2 linked regions of the Sus scrofa genome follow. The protein of the gene in region 1 interacts with the protein of each later gene in a pairwise test. Links are inferred from orthologs where the notes say so. Each region holds a gene or a part of one and is shown on either strand. Other genes may lie near its edges. The genes, in order: C2H11orf49 and RAB29.

Evidence for each region.
Region 2: the proteins of C2H11orf49 (region 1) and RAB29 interact in a two-hybrid assay, tested with the Homo sapiens proteins (2 studies listed by BioGRID and IntAct). The two-hybrid records come from large-scale screens. The link is inferred for Sus scrofa from reciprocal best matches to the Homo sapiens genes CSTPP1 and RAB29.

What each region holds. Positions count from the first base shown.
Region 1 is NC_010444.4:15,557,813-15,561,628, reverse strand, and holds part of C2H11orf49 (UPF0705 protein C11orf49 homolog), read left to right. Parts: intron 1-708; coding exon 709-811; intron 812-3,816. UniProt on the Homo sapiens protein: Regulator of the tubulin polyglutamylase complex (TPGC) that controls cytoskeletal organization, nuclear shape, and cilium disassembly by balancing microtubule and actin assembly.
Region 2 is NC_010451.4:66,448,519-66,452,334, forward strand, and holds the end of RAB29 (ras-related protein Rab-7L1), read right to left. Parts: intron 3,545-3,816; coding exon 3,423-3,544; intron 2,735-3,422; coding exon 2,623-2,734; 3' UTR 336-2,622; downstream 1-335. UniProt on the Homo sapiens protein: The small GTPases Rab are key regulators in vesicle trafficking. Essential for maintaining the integrity of the endosome-trans-Golgi network structure.

The sequences.
Region 1 (3,816 bases):
AGATTTCATGCTCTTTATTATTTACCAAAGTTATCACTTACAAACCTTTACTGAAATTTTCATGGTCCTTAAACTTTTTCAGTGGCTTTTTTTTTTTTTTTTTTTTTTTTTTTTTTTTGCCACATCCAAGGCATGCAGAATTTCCCAAGCCAGTGATCAAACCCACACCACAGCAGTGACCAGGGCTGCTGCAGTGACAACACCAGATCCTTAACCCTCTGTGCCACAAGAAAACTCCCAGTGACTTTTTTTTTTAATTAAAGAATTGAGTTTTCTTTGCAATCAAGTCATCCATGTTTCTGGTGTAGAATCACTTTTCCCCTGGGATAAATTTCTGAGACACGCAGAAGTGGAAGAGGATGGAAAGAGATAGGAGATAAGAATGCCCAGGTGCTTCTGCCAAATGATGCTGAAGCACCTCACCCTCATCACTGAAATGAAGAGTGAAGGGTTGATGTTAATACTAACAGCCAGTCAGATGGAGTAGGTCATGTTATATCGTCTCCCATTCTACCCTTTGAGAGTATGTCACTTATTTTGCCAGCAAGTTTTGTTTGCCTATTCCAGTCTACTTCCTATGGCAGAACCAGCATTTTGAGTGACTTTCATGGCCTCCTGCTGGGACTGGGATGATGATTTTTGTTTTGTTTCGTTTTTGGTCTACTTCTCACTCTCTCTTTCTCTCTTGCTTTTTCTTTATTTTTGTAGCCCAGCGACATGTCCTCACATACATGGAAGATGCGGTATGCCAGCTGCTAGAGAACAAGGAAGATATTAGCCAATATGGCATTGCCAGGTTCTTCACTGAATAGTAAGTACGTGAGTGCTTTGCCAGTAGGGCGGGCCCAGAAGAGGCTTTAGGAAGCAGCCAAGATATATGAAAAGTAGAGCAGGGCAATGCTGATTATGTAGTGGCAGTGACTGCTTAGCTTTGGTAGACTGGTTGAGGGCTGCCCAGACATGTTTTGGAACGTGCCTTTGGTGCAGCTAGTTTTGTCCAGTGGTAAGTCTCATGAGTGGACATAACTGCAGAAGCTCGACTGCTGGTTTGAGCTATTAAATCTGTTTCCTTAGGTTCCTCTTATAATTTTTAACTTTTCCCATTATTCGGATAGTCACTCTGATTTCCCTTCGTCATTGTTCCTTTAGTCTATGTTTTTCTTGGCTGATTTTTTTCATGGAAATGCTTCGGATGATATTCCTGTGCAGTTTTCTTTCTACAGGATATTGTGCCAGTCATGTAATGATTTAAGACTATTTCTAGAGGCAGGATACCTTCCATAGATTATATCTTTGAGAAGTTGTACAAATGTAAAATATGCTTGGAATGTGTAAAAGTCAAAGTGATTGTTATTTTCAATTTATTAAAAATGTTTTTTCTGTTTCGTTTTATTTTGTTTTTTGCTTTTTAGGGCCACACCTGCAGCATGTGGAAGCTCCCCTAGCTGCTACAGCTGCTGGCCTGTGCCACAGCCATAGCAATGCAGGATCCGAGCCACATCTGCGACCTATATCACAGCTCACAGCAATGCCAGATCCTGAACCCACTGAGCGAGACCAGGGATCAAACCTGCATCCTCATGGATACCAGTCGGGTTTGTATCTGTTGCACCACAAGGGAAGCTCCTTCACGTTTTATTGAGATGTAATTGACATACAACACTGTGCACATTTAAGCATAGTGATTTGATTTACATGCATCATGAAGTGATTGTCTTTTTTTAGAGCAAGTTTTTTTCCCTTTAATACTCAATTAAATAGATAGTTGTAGGTATAAGTTTTGTATGTACATAAATCTGGCTGAGGTGTTAGTTGGAGGCTGGCTTTCTGGTCCTCCTCATTTTTCTGAGACTCTTTCCCATTTTAAAGTTGACTTTGTCAGGGATAAAGTTTACTAATGACGATGTGTAGTAGGCCAGTGTGGTGCTCAAGAGCTTAATTCCTCTAGGTTTTAGCCCAGAGTTGCTTCAGCTCTCTCTTATGTGTCTTGGATCTCCCATCTAGGACACCACGGGTGCTCAGATCGTCAAATGGCCAGTTCTTATTCATGTCCCTGGTTGAGCTTAATTAACAAATGAGTTTTAATTAATGTTTCCCTGTGGGACCACTGCACATCATGAGGACTCCACCGCCCCCATTAGATCTCTCAGTCACCTGAGAAAACTGTAATCAGCCAGGAGGAGTCTGATCCCTTTTCTTCGGAGCAAACACTCTCATCTAATACCTTCACCTTTATCCCAGCAAATTTCATTACAGCAGATGAATTAAGGAAAAGCATCAGATCAGCCTCTTACCTAAACACTCAGTCCAGACCCCTAAGTCTCTTTCAACTAAGCAAGCTGAGGGTATTTTAGTCATTGGTTTATAGCCATAAGTTGACTAGTCACCTGCGATCTTCCCCAGGGAACTGCCTGATGGCGTTTCAGAGATGTTTCCCATATTGGCTTTATTTTTCCGTAGCTCACAAAACTGAGGTCTAGGTTAGAACCTCTGTCAAAATCTTTCCTAGGTTATCATCAGATGGATTAAATATTCGAGCACAAAACTGAAAGCAAAACTGAATCCTCACCAGCCAAAAGGAAGCCACAGAATTACCAATGGGATCTCCTGAAAGGAAAATCCTCAAATGGGAATCAAAGGTTCTCCAGACAGACAATGTCCAGGGAGCATGCTAAGCGGTTCCAAATTGGCTTCCAAGTCCCACTGAGCCCAGGACCTTAGTCCAAGGGACTCCTTACAAATAGGATCTCCCAAAAAGAAAATTCCCAAATGGGAACCGAAGGTTCCCCAGATGGACAAGATCCAGGGGGCCTCAGAGTGCATGCCAGGGGACTTACCCAGATGCTGGCAGAGGTGTCACAATATCCCAGATGCTACTTTTCTCCTTCCCAAAAAAGTTTCTTGAAGTGGAAAGTTTGGGTTGGCAGCAGAGGGAAAGGAAGGAGATCCCTGCAGGCTGGTGGAGCCTCAGCAGCTGCTAGGGTGGTCCTTGCCTTCCAACCACATTTCCAGCCTAGAGTTCCAACTCCCGAGATGGCCAGTCAGGTCTCTTCGGGGGCCCGGCTCTGTGGCAGGAAACTCTCAGTGATCTGGCCTCCAAAAGAGTCCTCTGTTCACCCAATGGGATACTGGTATGGAGAAAAACTTCAGAGCCTTTGATCAAGCTGAGAGCCCTGAGGGGCCGTCTGCCCATGGCAAATCCCAGACGAGCCCCCAAAATTTGTTGCTGAAGCCTCCGTCTGCTGGTGCCAAATACAAACTCAGAGACAGAATTTTGAGTGAAGGAGGAAAAGATAGCTTTATTGCTTTGCCAGGCAAAGGGGGCCACAGCAGGCCAGTGCTTAAGGACTGTGCCCCCATGAAGTGATTACAATAAGTTTAGTGAACATCTATCATCTCATATAGATACATAATTAAAGAAGTAGAAAAAAATTTTTTTTCTTGTGGAGTTCCCATTGTGGCTCTGCGCGTTAAGAACCCAACTAGTATCTATCAGAATTCAGGTTCAATTCCTGGCCTTGCTCAGTGGGTTAAGTATCAAGTGTTGCTGTGAACTGTGGTGTAGGTCACAGACATGGCTCAGATCTGGTGTTGCCATGGCTGTGGCATAGGCTAGCAGCTGCAGCTACGATTCTACTCCTAGCCTGGGAACTTCCATTAGGTGCAGCCCTAAAAACAAAAAAAAAATTCTTGTGATGAGAACTCTTAGAACTTACTCTTAACAATTTTCATGTATAACATACAGTAATGTTAATTATATTTATCATGTTCTATATTATTATATCCCTAGTATTTATTTGTCTTATAACTGGATGT
Region 2 (3,816 bases), on another chromosome or scaffold:
GCTGCACCATGACAGGAACCCCCTCTTCTTATTTATCTTAATCACTTTCCCCTTTCTTTATAGATAGGGACAGGGAGAGGAATTAGTTATATTTCAACTTCTTTAATTAGTTTCAGGGTCCTAATATTCACCACTTGGGAGAGAAAATCCAGAAGGGCTGGCAGCAATGCTTGAAAAGGCAGGAATATCCTGTCAGCAAATGGGAAAAGGAAGCATATTCAATTTTTGAAATGGTCACATTTCCAAGCAGTATTTGAGAAGCTACACCAAGTACTGAACTGGAATGAGGCAACTCATACTAGTAAATTAACAGATAACCAGAAAAATTATTTACCTCAATTTTTAAAGAATGTATTTGAAAAATGTATCATTACCACAACACCCCATTGGTATAAAATAACACTTTGACAAATTCAATTCAAGGCCAATAACTACTATGAATGTAATCCTTATTTTCCATTTATTTGTGATTTTGCAGGGGTTCAAACCAGTGATTAAAAAAATCAATTTTCTTCTCACAGAGAACTTGTTAGTCCACTATTATTTTCAGAATCACTGTAATAAAAACCCTACCTGAAAAGGGTTAATACGAAAGAGAACTTGGAGGTCTCCAAGGATTGTGCAAAATGTTTAATAATTCGCATTAAAAGCAAACCACTGAAGGCTCTGCTATTTGGCCTCTGCTCTCTCTTAGGACAGTGCTTGTCAAAGGCTGGTGCGTGTCAGGATCACCTGGAGAGCTAACGGAGCCCACAAAAGCCCAGAGTCACTTCTGAAGGGAAGGCCTGGGTCTCTGTATCTTTATCATGTTCTCCAGCAAGGGTTTCCACGTTGGGCTGATCAGAATCACCTGGGAAGACGTGAAAAACAAAAGAACCACAACAAATTCCCAGGCTTCACGCCTGGACATTTTGATTCAATAGACTGGAGGCGGGAGTTCCCGTCATGGCTCAGTGGAAACGAATCTGACTAGGAACCATGAGGTTGCAGGTTCGATCCCTGGCCTCGCTCAGTGGGTTAAGGATCCAGCATTCCCATGAGCTGTGGTGTACGTTGCAGATGCGGCTCTGATCTGGCATTGCCGTGGCTCTGGCGTAGGCTGGTGGCTACAGCTCTGATTAGACCCCGAGCCTGGGAACCTCCATATGCCACGGGTGCGGCCATAAAAAGACCAAAAAAAAAAAAAAAAAAAAAAAGATTGGAGGCTGGGCTGGGAATCAAAAATCTTACAACATTTTATTTTTAAAATTTTAAACACATTTCCCAGGTGGTTCTGATCCGTCAGATTTGACGGAAGCATTGACTTAGAACACTTATTTTGATAAGTGTCTCACAAAGAGCTCTAAGCCTCTGAGTTCACTAAGAATATTCATAACTTTGAGTAGGTTATAAATCACCAGCCTGTGAGAATTTAACAAATTAAACCGTCTAGAAGTGATTTGATACTTAAAAACTCTATCCAATTTAGCACTTAAATTACCTAATGATTTTCTGTCTGTATACTCTCCACCCCCAGGCAAACGTCTATACATGATATTTATTTCCTATGGCTGTTAAGTGCGAGCCACCGATAGCGCTCATGGAAGTTGCCCCACAGGATTTTGATCTGTTAACCTCTCCCTCTTCTTCCATTCAGACTCTCAGAGCTGAAAGGTATAGACCAGGGCACCACAGCCAACGGATGGCCCTGGTGGCGTTATGTGGCAAGACACCAACCCAGAAACCTGCAAACCCTGCCCCCATTCCACTGGGAGAGACACAGCAGAAAATCTTAATGTGATAATTCATTTCTTTGGAGAAAGAGGCCCTCTCACCACGTAAGACAGATAGTTTAAAAGCTTGACTTTTTGTTTGTTTATTTTTCAGCCACACCTGTGGCATATTGAAGTTCCCTGGCGAGGATCAAATCCGAGCTGCCACTGTGACCTTCGCCACAGCTGCAGCAATGTTGGATCCTTAAGCCACTGCATCAGGCTAAGAATCGAACCCAAGCTGCCAGAGACGAAGCCGGATCATTAACCCACTGTGCCATGGCAGGAACTCTAAGCTTGACTAGTCTTAAAACCATGACAAGAGAAAGCTAATTGTGTCTTCAGCTTAAAAAAATACAGTGACTTTTGGTTTACCTTCAGTAGCCCCAAACGCACTTCTGCAGCTCAGAGTCTGACAAAAAGAACCTGAAACCAATGACCTACAAGGAATTGGGGAAATGACCTTTGATCTCATTTTCCTTGCAACCTGAAGTCCTATCAGATGGAGATATCAATATACATTGAACGGAAAAAAATCCACTCAAAAGCACGTGAGAATGATGATCCTTAAAATATAGATGCTGATTTCTAATCCTTCCTACAAAATCCCAGCTCACAAATTGAGGGATGAGACAGTTTTTCTTCTACAGAGGGCACCGACTGAGCCCTGGAAGCCAGCTGCAAGCAAGAGGCAACTTGCAGAAGCAGAAACACACAAGGGTCCAAGGTGTTTTTTCTTAGGGACGATGGCCCTCCTTACCAGATAGTTGGCAAGAGACAGTTCAAATGTACTTAGTAAAATTGCTGGGTGGGTAACCAAAAGGCAGAGAAAGACCTCCTAGGACTGTGAGCAAACACAAGCCAAATGCTATTAGCAGCAGGTCCAGCTGGAGGTGGGCTTGGTGTGCAGGTTAATGTAGTTCCCTTGGGTGGACAAAGACATTTCTTCTTTGGAATTGCTCATCATCTTTTCAATGAGGACTCTAAAAAAACAATAAAAAATAAGCCTGAGAACCTGGATGGAAGAAAGGGAGAAATGTCAGACGTTGTCTATGCCTACAGCATGTGGAAGTTCCTGGGCCAGGGATGGAACCCGTACATGAGAGTGACCTGAGTTGCTGTAGTGCCAACACCAGATCCTTAACCTGCTGCGCCTCAAGGGAGCTCTAGACATTGTCTTTTTTTTTTTTTTTTTTTTGGCTTTTTGCCTTTTTTAGGGCTGCTTCCCGCGGCATATGGAGGTTCCCAGGCTAGGGGTCTAATTGGAGCTGTAGCTGCCAGCCTACGCCAGAGCCACAGCAACACAGGATCAAGCCACGTCTGCAACCTACACCACAGCTCATGACAACGCCAGATCCTTAACCCAAAAGCAAGGCCAGGGATCGAACCCACAACCTCATGGCTCCTAGTCAAATTCATTAACCACTGCGCCACAATGGGAACTCCATAGACAGTCTGTCTTAAAACCAGATGGCATTCAGCAGAGCCAGTTACAGGATTTCAATGCCCCTCTCTCCCTAGCTATCTCAGGAGAGAAGACAGCAGCATCCCTGACCTTCAGAAACTGGCATTCCAGTGGCTCGGTCTATTCTCATTTGTTTAGAAACAAGAAAAGAAGGTTCAAAATGGGTGAATCTTCGTGCCATCCCCAGAACAACACGCGCTACTCACCTCATCGCCTCGTTAATATTTTTGTTCTCCTTGACTGATGTTTCTGTCCAACCTGTGAAGCCGTTCTCTTTACTGAACCGGTCAACCTGGTCTCGGCTCACCGCCCAAGGGGATAGATCACACTGGCAAAGAAAATAAATAAAAGTCAACACCATAAACTTTCCAAGGACAGGAACATTACTCAGATACCTGTGATTATAAAACAGTGCCACTATGGAGTTCCGGTCGTGGCGCAGTGGTTAATGAATACGACTGGGAACCATGAGATTGCGAGTTCGATCCCTGGCCTTGCTCAGTAGGTTAAGGATCTGGCATTGCCGTGAGCTGTGGTGTAGGCTGCAGATGAGGCTCGGATCCCGAGTTGCTGTGGCTGTGGTGTAGGTGGCTACAGCTC